Arabidopsis thaliana: one gene and its partner. The protein of the gene in region 1 interacts with the protein of each later gene in a pairwise test. Each region holds a gene or a part of one and is shown in the gene's direction. Other genes may lie near its edges.

What was found. The genes of interacting proteins can lie anywhere in the genome.
Region 2: the proteins of RUS6 (region 1) and BTI2 interact in a two-hybrid assay, tested with the Arabidopsis thaliana proteins (one large-scale study listed by BioGRID).

What each region holds. Positions count from the first base shown.
Region 1 is NC_003076.8:20,244,725-20,253,034, reverse strand, and holds RUS6 (root UVB sensitive protein (Protein of unknown function, DUF647)), read left to right. Parts: upstream 1-3,412; 5' UTR 3,413-3,602; coding exon 3,603-3,908; intron 3,909-3,998; coding exon 3,999-4,097; intron 4,098-4,169; coding exon 4,170-4,283; intron 4,284-4,385; coding exon 4,386-4,457; intron 4,458-4,530; coding exon 4,531-4,641; intron 4,642-4,742; coding exon 4,743-4,862; intron 4,863-5,061; coding exon 5,062-5,163; intron 5,164-5,256; coding exon 5,257-5,329; intron 5,330-5,448; coding exon 5,449-5,532; intron 5,533-5,614; coding exon 5,615-5,679; intron 5,680-5,762; coding exon 5,763-5,864; intron 5,865-5,960; coding exon 5,961-6,134; intron 6,135-6,210; coding exon 6,211-6,282; 3' UTR 6,283-6,644; downstream 6,645-8,310. Other genes in the region: EXO84B (exocyst complex component 84B), read left to right, coding at 1-445, 839-1,354, 1,569-1,757, 1,853-1,989, 2,076-2,232; MMT (methionine S-methyltransferase), read right to left, coding at 6,989-7,288, 7,538-8,310. UniProt on the Arabidopsis thaliana protein: Required for normal embryo development.
Region 2 is NC_003075.7:6,837,411-6,843,104, reverse strand, and holds BTI2 (VIRB2-interacting protein 2), read left to right. Parts: upstream 1-3,068; 5' UTR 3,069-3,526; coding exon 3,527-3,779; intron 3,780-4,100; coding exon 4,101-4,281; intron 4,282-4,370; coding exon 4,371-4,512; intron 4,513-4,602; coding exon 4,603-4,672; intron 4,673-4,759; coding exon 4,760-4,929; 3' UTR 4,930-5,194; downstream 5,195-5,694. Other genes in the region: AT4G11230 (Riboflavin synthase-like superfamily protein), read left to right, coding at 1-25, 117-503, 591-686, 791-906, 1,036-1,203, 1,277-1,436, 1,519-1,728, 1,820-1,948 and 2 more.

The sequences.
Region 1 (8,310 bases):
GCTTGTGTTCTCAGCTATCTCTCAAGCTTCTAGTGACTCATTGGGAATCTTTGGGAAAGAGCCAGCATATAGTTCTGAACTTGTGACTTGGGCTACTAAGCAAACAGAGGCGTTTTCCCTTCTTGTTAAAAGGCATGCATTAGCTTCTTCTGCAGCAGCGGGAGGACTAAGAGCTGCCGCAGAGTGTGCACAGATAGCTCTTGGGCATTGTTCTTTGTTGGAAGCTCGTGGTTTGTCCCTTTGCCCAGTGCTTTTAAAGCACTTTAAGCCTATTGTGGAACAGGCATTGGAGGCAAATCTTAAGCGAATTGAAGAAAACACTGCAGCTATGGCTGCTGCAGATGATTGGGTACTGACAAGTCCTCCTGCTGGTAGTCGTCATGCTAGTACAGCATTTCAGAATAAGCTTACATCCAGTGCCCACCGGTTTAATCTCATGGTCCAGGTAGACTATCTTGACAAACACTTTTCTCCGAAATTTTCAGCCTTTTTCTAAAGTTGTGCTAGAAAAATAAAGTGCTTAGGAAATGCAGACATGCCTAGAAAAATGAAATATTTTTCACTCTTAGACGTCTGGTGTGTCTCTTAGATATGCCAGTATCCCATGAAAATTGCTTATAATATGAGTTTACACATCAGCTGTAAAATTGACTAGCCATCGTTGATGACGATTGATTAGAACTTGCACTCGCGTTCCCACTGAAAAGTTATTATAAACTCTAGGCAGTACCAATTCTGTCTTAGCTGCTCTGATAGGCAGAGGATTCCCAAGTGGACTGTCATGAACTTTGGATGTATTTGTCAAGTAGATCCTTTTGATAATGGTATTTTGTTGCAGGACTTCTTTGAGGACGTAGGACCTCTGCTAAGTATGCAATTGGGAAGTAAAGCTCTGGAAGGTCTGTTTCGGGTGTTTAACTCATATGTAGATGTGCTGGTAAGAGCACTTCCTGGTTCGATAGAAGAAGAAGATCCAAATTTTGAAAGTTCATGTAATAAGATTGTCCAAATGGCTGAGACGGAGGCAAACCAACTTGCATTACTCGCAAATGCATCATTGCTAGCGGATGAATTACTTCCACGTGCTGCCATGAAACTCTCTCTTGATCAGACTGGTCAGAGGACAGACGACCTAAGGAGACCTTTGGACAGACAAAATCGTAATCCTGAACAACGAGAATGGAAGAGGCGTTTACTTAGTACTGTTGACAAGTTAAAAGATGCGTTTTGTCGCCAGCATGCCTTGGATCTCATTTTTACTGAGGAAGGAGATAGCCATCTGTCTGCGGATATGTACGTAAACATAGATGAAAATGGCGAGGATGTGGACTTCTTTCCATCTCTGATATTCCAGGTAGTTGTTGTTTCATTTCCATCAGTCCAGTTAGCCTTTATGAAGTACTGTACCCAGATGTGTAGTCACTTGGGAACTCTTATCGGCAGATTGGATACTGTAGAGTTGAATCCATGTTTGTCATAGTCTACTGTCCACTTCAAGAACATGATTTTTTTCTGTCTTTTTTAGCTTAATATTCTTATACTTTGGGTGTTGCGTCGTTGGAAAACAGGAACTTTTTGCCAAACTTAACAGGATGGCAAGTCTAGCAGCAGATATGTTTGTAGGAAGAGAAAGATTCGCCATATCTTTGTTGATGCGATTAACAGAGACTGTGATCTTATGGCTTTCTGGAGACCAGAGCTTTTGGGATGACATTGAGGAAGGTCCTCGACCTTTGGGACCTCTTGGCCTACGGCAGGTTTGTACACTCATTCTTGCTTCTGTATATGTATATTCAGCGAGCATCGAAATTGTTGTGTACCTTTGTTAACAAACAACCTGCATCTGTCACAGCTGTATTTGGACATGAAGTTTGTCATATGCTTTGCATCCCAAGGTCGCTACCTATCGAGGAATTTGCACAGGGGAACTAATGAGATAATATCTAAAGCCTTAGCAGCTTTCACCGCAACAGGGATAGATCCATATAGGTACATCGGTTTTGAGGGTGTTTTGCAATGTTTTAGCCTTTATGGTAAGTATAAATGATTAAAATGTGGTTGTGAATGATGTGCAGTGAGCTGCCAGAAGACGATTGGTTCAATGACATATGTGTGGATGCGATGGAAAGATTGAGTGGCAAGACAAAGGGCAACAACGGGGATGTCCACAGTCCGACTGCTTCAGTGTCAGCTCAGTCTGTTTCATCAGCGAGATCTCATGGCAGCTATTGAAACCAAACCCATCTTACATTTGTTAAGAAGGTGAATGGTCAATAACTTTTGATCTTCTCTTTTCAGCTCTGCTTTTCCAAAAGCTTTCTATTTTGTAGAGTCTCCAGTTGTTGATGAGATGATTTTGGGGGCGTGTAAATGTTGTTGAGTTGACATGTTTGTTTTCTTGTATTGGTCCTCTCTCTCTCTCAATGGATGCATTCTTTGGGTTAAAATATTGAAGAGAGTGTTGATCTTTCTTCTCTATGATACACTCTCTTTCTGTTTTGGTATTGGATCAGATGTAGCAAACTTGAATGAGATATCTTACGATTCACTTTTTGTATTTCCTACTCGAATCATGTAGTTCATAGCGTAAATTAGTTTTAAGTAAATCGTGTTGTGTAAACTCCTAGTCTAATTCTTGGTACGGTGGGTCGGATCTTGGGATGTACAAAAGTTTGAATAATGGGTAAGGACGGTTACCTACCACATGGACCCTTAAAGGCTTGGTAATTTGGCCACGCATGCCCGATAAGGCAATAATCATTCGCGAATGAGGCTTAGAGATGCTAGAGTCATCCCTCGCCATTGATGCAAACACCTCCTTTGCTTCTCTACATGTTTGAGATTCATGTTTTGACAGATGACAAACAAAAGTAGGTGGTGATACTCAGGCTGTGAATGGTAACCAAAACCGTATCGCAACAGTGCTGTAACAGTATCAAAATCTTTACATATACATATGTATCTATGTATTTTCGTTCCTATTTGAACCGCACCGCACTTCTTCCGCACCGCAAAACGCAGTCACCATTCGGAGCCTCAGAATGTATAAAACATGGCAAGGAAGATGTGATGTTGATAGCTCTATGGTAGATTTCAGGTAATGACTTTTCCAATGATAATTCCAAGTGATAGTAGTCTATAATCACGTGGGAGGAGGCACAATCAGACTACATTACTGAACATTTTGATTTCAGCTTACTTACCATTCACATGTTATGAGCTGAATCTGATATTTAATTAACAAAATTTGCCTCGTTACAAAAATCGAATTATCAGGGTGCAAAACACAACAATTTATTCAATAGATTATTTCTATTATGTAGCTTAAAATATTTTATTTTTTTGGTGAGAAAGTAACTTAAAGTATTTTAAATGTCTAGTTTGATCAGAATTTTTATTTTATTTTGTCAGATATACACTGTGGGACTAAAAAGAATAAAAGAAGAGATAAATATAATAATAAAATATTGGAGGTGAATTTGTTTGTGGAACAACTGGTTTCGCTTCTTCTTCTACAGAGCTTCCCTCGTTTCCTCCGCCGGAGAGACACTCCATTAAAATCCCTTCTTCATCGATCCTTCATTAGATTTACAACAACAACAATGCCAAGCGTCAAGCTCACACACCATTCTCCACCTGACACTATTGCCTCCGACTCCGTCCGTCTCCTTTCCCGTGAAACTCTCCGAATCAGCGCCTCTCTCGCTTCTCCTCCCGTTGATGATCTCCCTCCTCACTCTCCTCCACCTCCAGATTCTCAATTTCTTCATTCGACTCTGAGATTGATCTGTTGCGAAGAAATCGATGGCCGTCGGTTTAAGTATGTCGCTGAGAGCGATGGTTCTGGGAGATTCAAGAAGAATTCAGTTCGTGCTATTAGCTTGGAGTCTCCTCAGACTCCTTTTGATGTATGCCTTGTTCCATTGATGAACTCTTTTTTTGAATTTTCCTAAATATGTGAAATGTGTTCAATTTTTGTTTTTGGTGATTTGTTACAGGAAGTGGGTTCGTTTCTTAGATCTTACGTTGTACCTGAAGGCTTTCCTGGGAGTGTTAATGAGTCTTATGTTCCTTATATGACTTGGAGAGCTTTGAAAGTATGTTTCGTTACTCTCTAAAAGTTTTTTTTTAGAATTCAGTGTAAATGATTGATCTTTTTGACTGTGTAGCATTTCTTTGGTGGAGCTATGGGTGTGTTTACTACTCAAACTCTTCTTAATTCTGTTGGAGCTTCAAGAAACAGTTCTGCTTCTGCTGCTGTTGCCATCAATTGGATTCTCAAGGTTTTCCTTTCTCGTATATCCTTTCATGCATCATGCATGTATAACAATCCTTTAAAACATGGCTTACTCACTCATTGTTGAATATCAATGTAATTCTTGTAGGATGGTGCTGGGCGTGTTGGGAAAATGCTTTTTGCGAGGCAGGGAAAGAAATTTGATTATGATTTGAAACAGGTACTTATTCCATTACTTAACAAATGCGATGGTTGACTCTCTCTCTCACGTTTAAACTCACTTTGGCTTGCAGTTACGGTTTGCTGGTGATCTATTGATGGAGCTCGGTGCTGGTGTAGAGTTGGCGACGGCTGCAGTTCCACATCTTTTTCTTCCACTGGCTTGTGCTGCTAATGTTGTTAAGGTAGTTTTATCATCTTTTATCACTCATAATTGCTATTCGATTTCAATGTTATTGTTGGTCTTTGATTTTTGTTTTTGTATCAATCATTTGTTTTATCACAGAATGTTGCAGCAGTAACATCAACGTCTACTCGTACACCGATCTATAAAGCCTTTGCTAAAGGAGAAAACATAGGAGACGTAACTGCTAAAGGAGAGTGTGTTGGTAATATTGCAGATCTGGTATGACCCTTTTTCAACATTAGTTTTCATTGTTTCTTGGGTGTTTTGTTGGTTTAATCTGTCAAGCGGAATTAAATTTGAACTAAAGGTGGCTACATTGCTAGTTTGCTACTTGTTGCTTAAGGGTCGAAATAGATTCTGTTTGATCTCTTTTTGAGCTCTAAAATTTTCATTTGTTTTTATTATTTTCTATGTGAAGATGGGAACTGGGTTTAGCATCCTGATATCAAAAAGAAATCCTTCGTTGGTCACAACATTTGGTCTTCTATCATGTGGCTATCTCATGAGCTCGTACCAAGAGGTAGAATCCAGCTCTGTTTCAAGTATATCTCTTTTTATGTACTTGGGGTTCTCTTGATTTATTGCTCAAAAAACGTGGCTGTGTCCTTTACAGGTTAGATCTGTAGTATTGCATACACTAAACCGTGCTAGATTTACAGTAGCAGTGGAGTCCTTTCTTAAGACGGGTAAGCTATGTCACTTTGCTAGCATGCACTTGAGTGTGCTCCTAGAGCTCTGATTTCCCACCCCTTTTGAGGTTTGTCATATTCAAACTTCACAGATTGAACTTTCCATCTATCTGCAGGGCGGGTTCCCTCATTGCAGGAAGGTAATATCCAAGAAAAGATATTCACTTTTCCATGGGTGGATGATCGGCCAGTGATGCTTGGTATGTGTTATCAAGCATTCCATATAAATTATATTCCTTTTTCATTACCCTTACTGATTAGGTTTTTCATACAATTTGACAGGAGCCAGATTTAAGGATGCATTCCAAGACCCCAGCACGTATATGGCTGTAAAGCCTTTTTTCGATGTATGTGTTTTTTCCCTTAATATCAAGCCTTGACCGCTTTATCTTGATACTGTAATTGACTTTATTCTCTTTACTAATGGCAGAAAGAAAGATACATGGTAACGTACAGCCCTACCAAGGGTAAAGTCTATGCACTGCTCAAACATCAGGCTAACTCAGATGACATTCTCAAAGCAGCATTTCATGTAGGATGATTTTGTATCTGTTTAATTACTATTCTGTTGAGACGAAGTAATTTTGGCCTAAATTTTCTCATTCGGTTACATGATCATATATCACAGGCACATGTGCTTCTTCATTTCATGAATCAATCAAAAGATGGTAACCCAAGATCGGTGGAGCAATTAGATCCTGCGTTTGCTCCTACGGAATATGAGCTCGAGTCTCGTATTGCTGAGTCGTGTGAAATGGTTTCCACATCATATGGCGTCTTCAAAAGCAGGGCTGCAGAACAGGTAACTTGGGAGAAACCTGTTATATCCTTTTTAAGTTATTTAATCGAGTGTGCATCTGAAAATTCCATTTTGATAGGGTTGGAGAATGTCAGAATCTCTGCTTAATCCTGGCCGGGCTAGGTTATGTCATGTGAAGGAGGGGGAGTAAACATCGCCTGTTGAGACTGGTCATCGACCTGAATCGGCTTTTATAGTTATTTCACTGTCACACTCTAAATTTTGCTGTCTTGGTTTCATGAAGAAAAAAACAGGTTTTGGTTGGTACACGTTTTATTAACCAGGCTGTAAAAAATAGAACGATATGTAGCTTTTGTAAATTGTGAGAATGCCACTGGTGTAATTTAACAGATGAATCTTCTTTGTGTACCAATTCTCACATCATGATTGTTACACAGGTTCATAAACAGAAAGTCAGAAACTTTGGGTTCACGAAACATACATAGTACCAGATCTAGAATGTATGAATTGGTAGAGGTGTCAAAAACCATTTAGCTTTGGATTCATTTTGAGATACTTATTTGATATCTTTTCTGGAACACATTCTTTTTTTCTGGAACATCATAGAGAGCCCAAGATCGAACATAAAAGAAAAAAACATCATAGAAACAAGGAGACTTATTCACATTAAAATATAAGACTTATTCAAAGTTTTATGACTCCTTTATTAGCATGAAAATATCATACTTCCAAAAAGTAAACCCGTTATGGGGCTGACCAAGAAACGGGAAGCGAGTTATTTAGAAACAACAGAACAAAGGAACGCAGAAGAAGAGCGACGTGTTAAGTCTCAGAACCAGCAATGCACAATGCCCTTTAGTTCAAGTTGATGACATCGTAAATGAAACTGGCACGTTTCAGTTAGCAAGGACGCTTTTAAACTGAGCTATCGATTCAATAGCCTTGTCAAACTCACTATCTTCCAATGCAAATGAAAACCGGCAGTAACCAGGGATTCCAGTCCAGGAACCGCTGTTTAAGCAAACACCGGTATGGCTGAGGAACACATCCCTCATATTTGAATCCGTAAGCTCGACGATTTCCTGTCCATCTCCTGCTTTCAGCTTTACTTTTTTGTTGAGATAAGCTTTTGGCTTTGCCACCATTGAGATTCCAGCTGAGGGTTGGATAACCTCCCAACCAGAGTTCTGTAGTACCTGTTCCAATAATTTAAAAAGGAAGATCAACAACCTAACATCATGCGATTATGCGATCAACATTTACTCCATTTACCCCTCTGCTGCAATATTGTTAACAACATGAGATTCAAAAAGACCTGAGCGGTACCACTAAAGCCTTTCCCACAGCTTTAACCATTTGAAATATTCATTTGTTATTTGCAAACAATCTAAGACAATCTGAGCTCTGATGATAATGCAAAAGGGAGTATAGGCAGAAATGAGTACCTCTTTTAAGCGTCTGGATCTGCCTTCCAAGGTTTTAATGGTTTCAGAAACGGCATCCAGAAAGTCACTTGCTTTCTCTTCCTTCAAAGCCAACATTTTCTTAGCGGCATATTTCACAGTGCTGTGCGGTTTGCTCAGGCCTGGGAGGGTATGGAAGGCATCGATGAGAGACTGATCCAAAACTAGAAACCCGAGTTTAATAGCTCCACTGAGCAAATTCAAAGAGAGACATCCAAGCAGCGAAACTGATAAGGAAGAATCCATTTTCGACAAAGCGTTCTTCAAATCCCAGCTAGTTGCACTGTATTCTAATCCCGAGAATGAAGTATCGATGATGACCTTTGCTCCAAACTTAGCACAAGTAGACAACAGTATATCCATCTCCTCATTGCTGTACACCAAGCCTGTAGGGCTAACCGTTGGTCCAGATATACAAACCCACGGCTTCTTCACAGACTCGAGTGCTTTCGTTAGAGTCTTTTCTGTCAGCTTAAAGCCATCACTAGACTCGGTAGGGATATTCACGACATTAGCTTTTAAAAATTTGGCAGCAGCAACATAATTTCCATTTGTACCAGCAGGTAAACAAAGCGTTCCACCTTCTTGAGCACAACAAATTACCAGTTTATTGAATAGTGCTAGTGAGCCATCAGCATATACAAAGCCTGTGCTGCTTTTGGTTGGAAACCCATAATTACTCCACACAAACTGCTTAATACTTGGGTTGATATCAACTTCCGCTTCAGATATGTTCTGCCTCACAAAACTTTCAA
Region 2 (5,694 bases), on another chromosome or scaffold:
CGATGACTGCATTAATTTTCACAAGGTTAATCATAAACCATTTTTTGTCTTGCCTTTCATAAGAAAGATACTATGCTTCAGCTGAATCCGACTTTCCGGTTTTTGCTTAAACGCAGACGATCTCTGTAGCAATCATTAGTGCAATGCTTCTTCATGCAACCAGCCACCTCGCCTGTGACTTCCCAAGGATTCTAGCATCTACTGATACAGATTACAAAAGATACTTGGTTAAGTACTTTGGTGTGACCAGACCCACATACTTTGGTTTGGTGAATACTCCTGTGGGAATCACTGGAATTATAATGGTTGCTTTTATGTTAATTGCATTCACATTAGCCAGTAGAAGATGCAGGCGGAACTTAACTAAGTTGCCGAAGCCATTTGACAAACTAACCGGATATAATGCCTTCTGGTATTCACATCACTTACTTCTAACTGTTTACGTCCTTTTAGTCATCCACGGTGTTTCCCTCTATCTCGAGCATAAATGGTACCGCAAAACGGTACATTCCATAAACTCTTTACCATTTTACTTTTTGCATGCTTACATAATTGGCTGTGGTAACAATAACATATACTGCATCCTACAGGTATGGATGTATCTTGCTGTACCAGTTTTACTCTATGTTGGTGAGAGGATCTTTAGATTTTTCCGTTCCAGGCTTTACACAGTCGAAATCTGTAAGGTAAAATCTCACTTACAGTTACATTTTGAACTGAATTACATGAAAAGACACATTGTCAATCATCTACTATTATCTCTATACCAACTCAAATGATTTGGTTTCAGGTTGTAATTTATCCCGGAAACGTTGTTGTGCTACGCATGTCTAAGCCTACATCATTTGATTACAAGAGTGGACAATATGTATTTGTTCAGTGTCCATCAGTATCAAAATTTGAGTGGTGAGTGTTTTATAGGGAACCAAAACAAGCCTAATAGCTTTCCTTGCAATCCTAGAACATATACAAACTCTGTTCTTTGACACCACAAAGACTAACTTAAAGATTCTCGGTCCTAAACTCCATCTCCAGGCATCCATTTTCTATTACTTCTTCCCCTGGAGATGATTATCTCAGCATTCACATTCGTCAGCGCGGTGATTGGACAGAAGGGATTAAGAAGGCATTCTCAGTGGTATGTCATGCCCCTGAAGCTGGAAAAAGCGGACTTCTCAGAGCAGATGTACCAAACCAAAGAAGGTGCATAAAATTCTTTAAAATTCAATATATTATTCTCAGAATGTGAATTTTGATACTCTCTCTTGTAATATAGTTTTCCAGAGCTGTTGATAGATGGACCTTATGGCGCTCCAGCGCAAGACCATTGGAAGTATGATGTGGTATTACTGGTTGGCCTTGGAATCGGCGCAACACCTTTCGTTAGCATTTTGAGAGATCTACTCAATAACATTATTAAGCAACAGGAACAAGCTGTGAGTATAACAAGCTTAAAAACCTTGTTGATGAGTAACAGAATCTCAACTAAACTTTTTTGGAGTTATGTTATATTCTCAGGAATGCATCTCAGGTAGTTGTAGTAACAGCAACATCTCGTCGGATCACAGTTTCAGTTGCTTAAACTCAGAAGCTGCGAGTCGGATTCCGCAAACTCAACGGAAGACGCTGAATACCAAGAATGCTTACTTTTACTGGGTAACACGAGAACAAGGCTCGTTCGATTGGTTCAAAGAAATCATGAACGAGATTGCTGATTCAGATAGAAAGGTAAAAACAATACACTTATTCATTTTAAATTCAAAAGATTGTATGATTTCAAGTTACTCACTGACGTATTTGTCTTGTGAACAACTACAAGGGTGTTATTGAGATGCACAACTACTTGACTAGCGTCTACGAAGAAGGAGATACTCGATCCAATCTTCTCACTATGATCCAAACGTTAAACCATGCCAAAAATGGCGTCGACATTTTTTCAGGAACCAAGGTAATGATCTTTAATGATTAGTTGATTACTTTATCACAAACAACACTCTTTTCTGATCTTGTATAACAACTTTTGGTTATTTTAGGTAAGGACACATTTTGGGAGGCCAAAATGGAAGAAAGTTTTATCAAAGATTAGCACCAAACATAGGAACGCAAGAATTGGTAACACACAGAAACATCAGTTCACTGAAATGATATTCGATATCGCGGTGTATATTTGCCTTGTCTGAAGAATGTTTTTTTGTTTGTTACAGGAGTGTTCTATTGTGGAGTTCCAAGTTTGGGGAAGGAACTTTCAACACTCTGCCATGAATTTAACCAGACGGGAATTACCAGGTTCGATTTCCACAAAGAACAGTTCTAACTGGTAAAAGGATTAATCCCCCACGATTATGGTTTTTTGAATGAATGAATCAATGTTCATGTTCGTTCTCGTATCCTACTTGTTGTGTTTTCTTTTCGTTTTGTGTATCACAAATACCAACTTTTAACCATTTCATCTAGAGTAGGACTGTTAAAAAATGTAAAAAGTCACAGTTAAAGCTTGTGAAGAAAAAAAGAGTGTAAAGGAGTAAAAATGAGAAATTCAAACAAAGGGGGATGATGGGATCATTGGGATGATTGGTTCTGTCTGTTCAATTGTTTTCAAATTTGAGCACTTATTATTGGGCCTGTCTTTGAGCTCTCTTATTATTATGGGCCGATAACTAGTTTGGCCCATTTGGTTATCAACTTGAAAATGAATGAAGAAAGCTGGGGAAAAGGGTCTTTTTAAACCCGAACTGACTCAAAAGCCTCAAAAATTTCACTGTTCCTTGGTTCTTGACCGGTTTAGAATCATGGTTTCGGTTTTGAATCATATTTGCTTTCTTGGACATGAGAAAGTAACTGGGCTTCATCATTGTTTTAGCTCATTGGGCCCATATTACGACTCGAGCTAACGCTGTCAAGTTAAATGCTTTTTCACTTTCTAGAGCATTCTTTTTTAAACACTTCTTTTAACCAAGAGACGGTTCCTACTTCTCTAATATTTTTATTTTCTAGTTTTTTGGCCAGCAGCAAAATATTATTTTAATTTAGTGTCAAGATAATTAAATTATCATTGTCTTTTGAATGCAGACCGAAAGTACATGAGTCACATAAGCAAGCGGCTACGATTCAACCACGTGTCACATGACCACCGGTTCGACCGTTTCTTTGTCCAGCCGCGTGACACCTGAACCAGAAAAGTTTAATAGCCATTTTAATAACAGAGCCGTTAATTACACGTGACTTAAAAAGCCGTTATCCTTAACAGCGTTAACATCTCGGTCCTGTGAAAACACTTTTTATATGTCCCCACGACATTTATCTTTTCCTAAGCATCGCTCTAGTTAAGGAAGCAGCAGGTTTGGATCCGAACCAACCAACGGATCAGATCAGAAACAAAATATTCAACGGCTCAGATTTATTCTAATTTTCCTCCTTTTATTGTTGGTTTTTTCATTCGACTTCGAGATCTTTCTTCTCAGAGGTGTAACGAAAACGCTAGAACAATAACTTTGATCGTTCTTCTTCTTCTCTTGAATCGGAAACAATGGCGGATGAACATAAGCATGAAGAATCTTCACCTAATTTGGATCCAGCAGTGGAGGTTGTAGAGAGGGAATCGTTGATGGAGAAGTTATCGGAGAAGATCCATCACAAAGGTGATTCGTCGTCTTCATCATCATCAGATGACGAAAACGAGAAGAAGTCTTCGTCATCGTCTCCAAAGTCTTTGAAATCGAAGGTTTATCGTTTGTTCGGAAGAGAGAGACCTGTTCATAAGGTTCTCGGCGGCGGAAAACGTATGTTTACTCTGATCCCGTTTCGATATTTGTTCTCAGTTTTTTAAAACGAATTCGTTTGCGTTGGCTTGATCTGTTTGATTTTCTCACTAGTTTAAGGGATCCGTGAAGAAGATCGTTTGAATCTACATAGAGGTTTACATTGATTTGAATTCGATTTCGATTTTGATTTCTGACTAGTTTGAGAGAATTTGTGATGGAATTGATTTTTTTTTTTTTGGAAATGTGTATAATGATCTTGTGAGATTCTTGTAGTTATTGATGATATGGTTCTTATTTCGTGATTGATAAACCCTAATTTGGTGATCTTTTTAATTGCAGCGGCAGATATATTTATGTGGAAGGACAAGAAAATGTCAGGAGGTGTATTTGGCGGTGCTACAGTGGCATGGGTGCTATTTGAATTGATGGAGTATCATCTTCTTACTCTGTTATGTCACGTTATGATCGTTGCTCTTGCTGTGTTGTTTCTATGGTCTAATGCCACTATGTTCATTCACAAGTAAGTTTTGTGGTCAATCATATGAAACAGGTCAAGGTTGTCAAGCTTATTTGACTCATCTTCGTTACCAAATTTTCATTCTCTTTCAGGTCTCCACCAAAGATTCCTGAAGTTCATATCCCTGAAGAACCTCTTCTTCAGCTTGCTTCGGGTCTTAGAATCGAAATCAACCGTGGGATCTCTTCTCTTCGTGAGATTGCGTCGGGGAGGGATATCAAGAAGTTCCTCTCTGTATGTTTAAACTGTCCTGGACTTACTCGTTACTCCTCTCTCGATGTCTCACTTAAGTTTGACACTTATTGTACTGTTTGATTGAATTAGGCTATTGCCGGATTGTGGGTTCTATCGATCTTGGGCGGCTGCTATAGTTTCTTGACATTGGCATACATAGGTAACACTTACTGTTGCTAAAAGTATTTTGCTTCTGCCTTCTCTCTTATTCTGACATTGCTGATGAACGGTTATTGATTTGGTCCAGCTCTGGTTCTGCTCTTCACTGTTCCTCTTTTCTACGACAAGTACGAAGACAAAGTAGACTCATACGGTGAGAAAGCAATGGCTGAGTTGAAGAAGCAATACGCTGTGTTGGACGCAAAGGTATTCAGCAAAATCCCAAGAGGACCGTTGAAAGACAAGAAGAAGGATTAGTTTTTTTTGGGGTTTTTGTTTTGTGTGGGTTTTCTTTGGAGTGCAATGTGCACAATGCTCTGGTTTTTATACACGTGGGTTGTGTTGTGTTGTGAATTGGTAATCTAAAAGGTTATGTGTTAGATCTCAACCCAAATTTTACTTGACAACTTTGCTTTGTTTTTGGAGTGGTTTGTGGCATTAGCACAATGATTGTAGTCGTTCTCTTGATCTATATTTTTAATGTACTGATTGATTTCTGTGTTTCTAATATGGTACGTTACTCAAATATCGTTTTTTCTCGATTATATATTTGTAGTATGTCTTGATATCAAACAAGTCAGGATGGCCGAGTGGTCTAAGGCGCCAGACTCAAGTTCTGGTCCTCGTAAGAGGGCGTGGGTTCAAACCCCACTTCTGACAATTTAGATTTTTATTTTCTCTGAGCTCATTTTTTAAGTGTTTGTTACTTTATTTGTCCAAAAAATAAAAATATAACATGTTTGTATATTTACTGGTTATATATATGTAATAAGTATGAATATTAACAAATGTCAGTATGGCCGAGTGGTCTAAGGCGCCAGACTTAAGTTCTGGTCCTCTTACGAGGGCGTGGGTTCAAACCCCACTGCTGACAATTTATATTTTTGTTAATTTTAAATTATAATTACCTTCTTTTTTCTTTCCTTTATACTATGTTTTCTCATTTAACCATGTTTTTGTTTTTTCTTAAACGGTCTTATGTTTCTCAGGTAACAATCAGCTAAATAAGTAACTAGTTAAAAG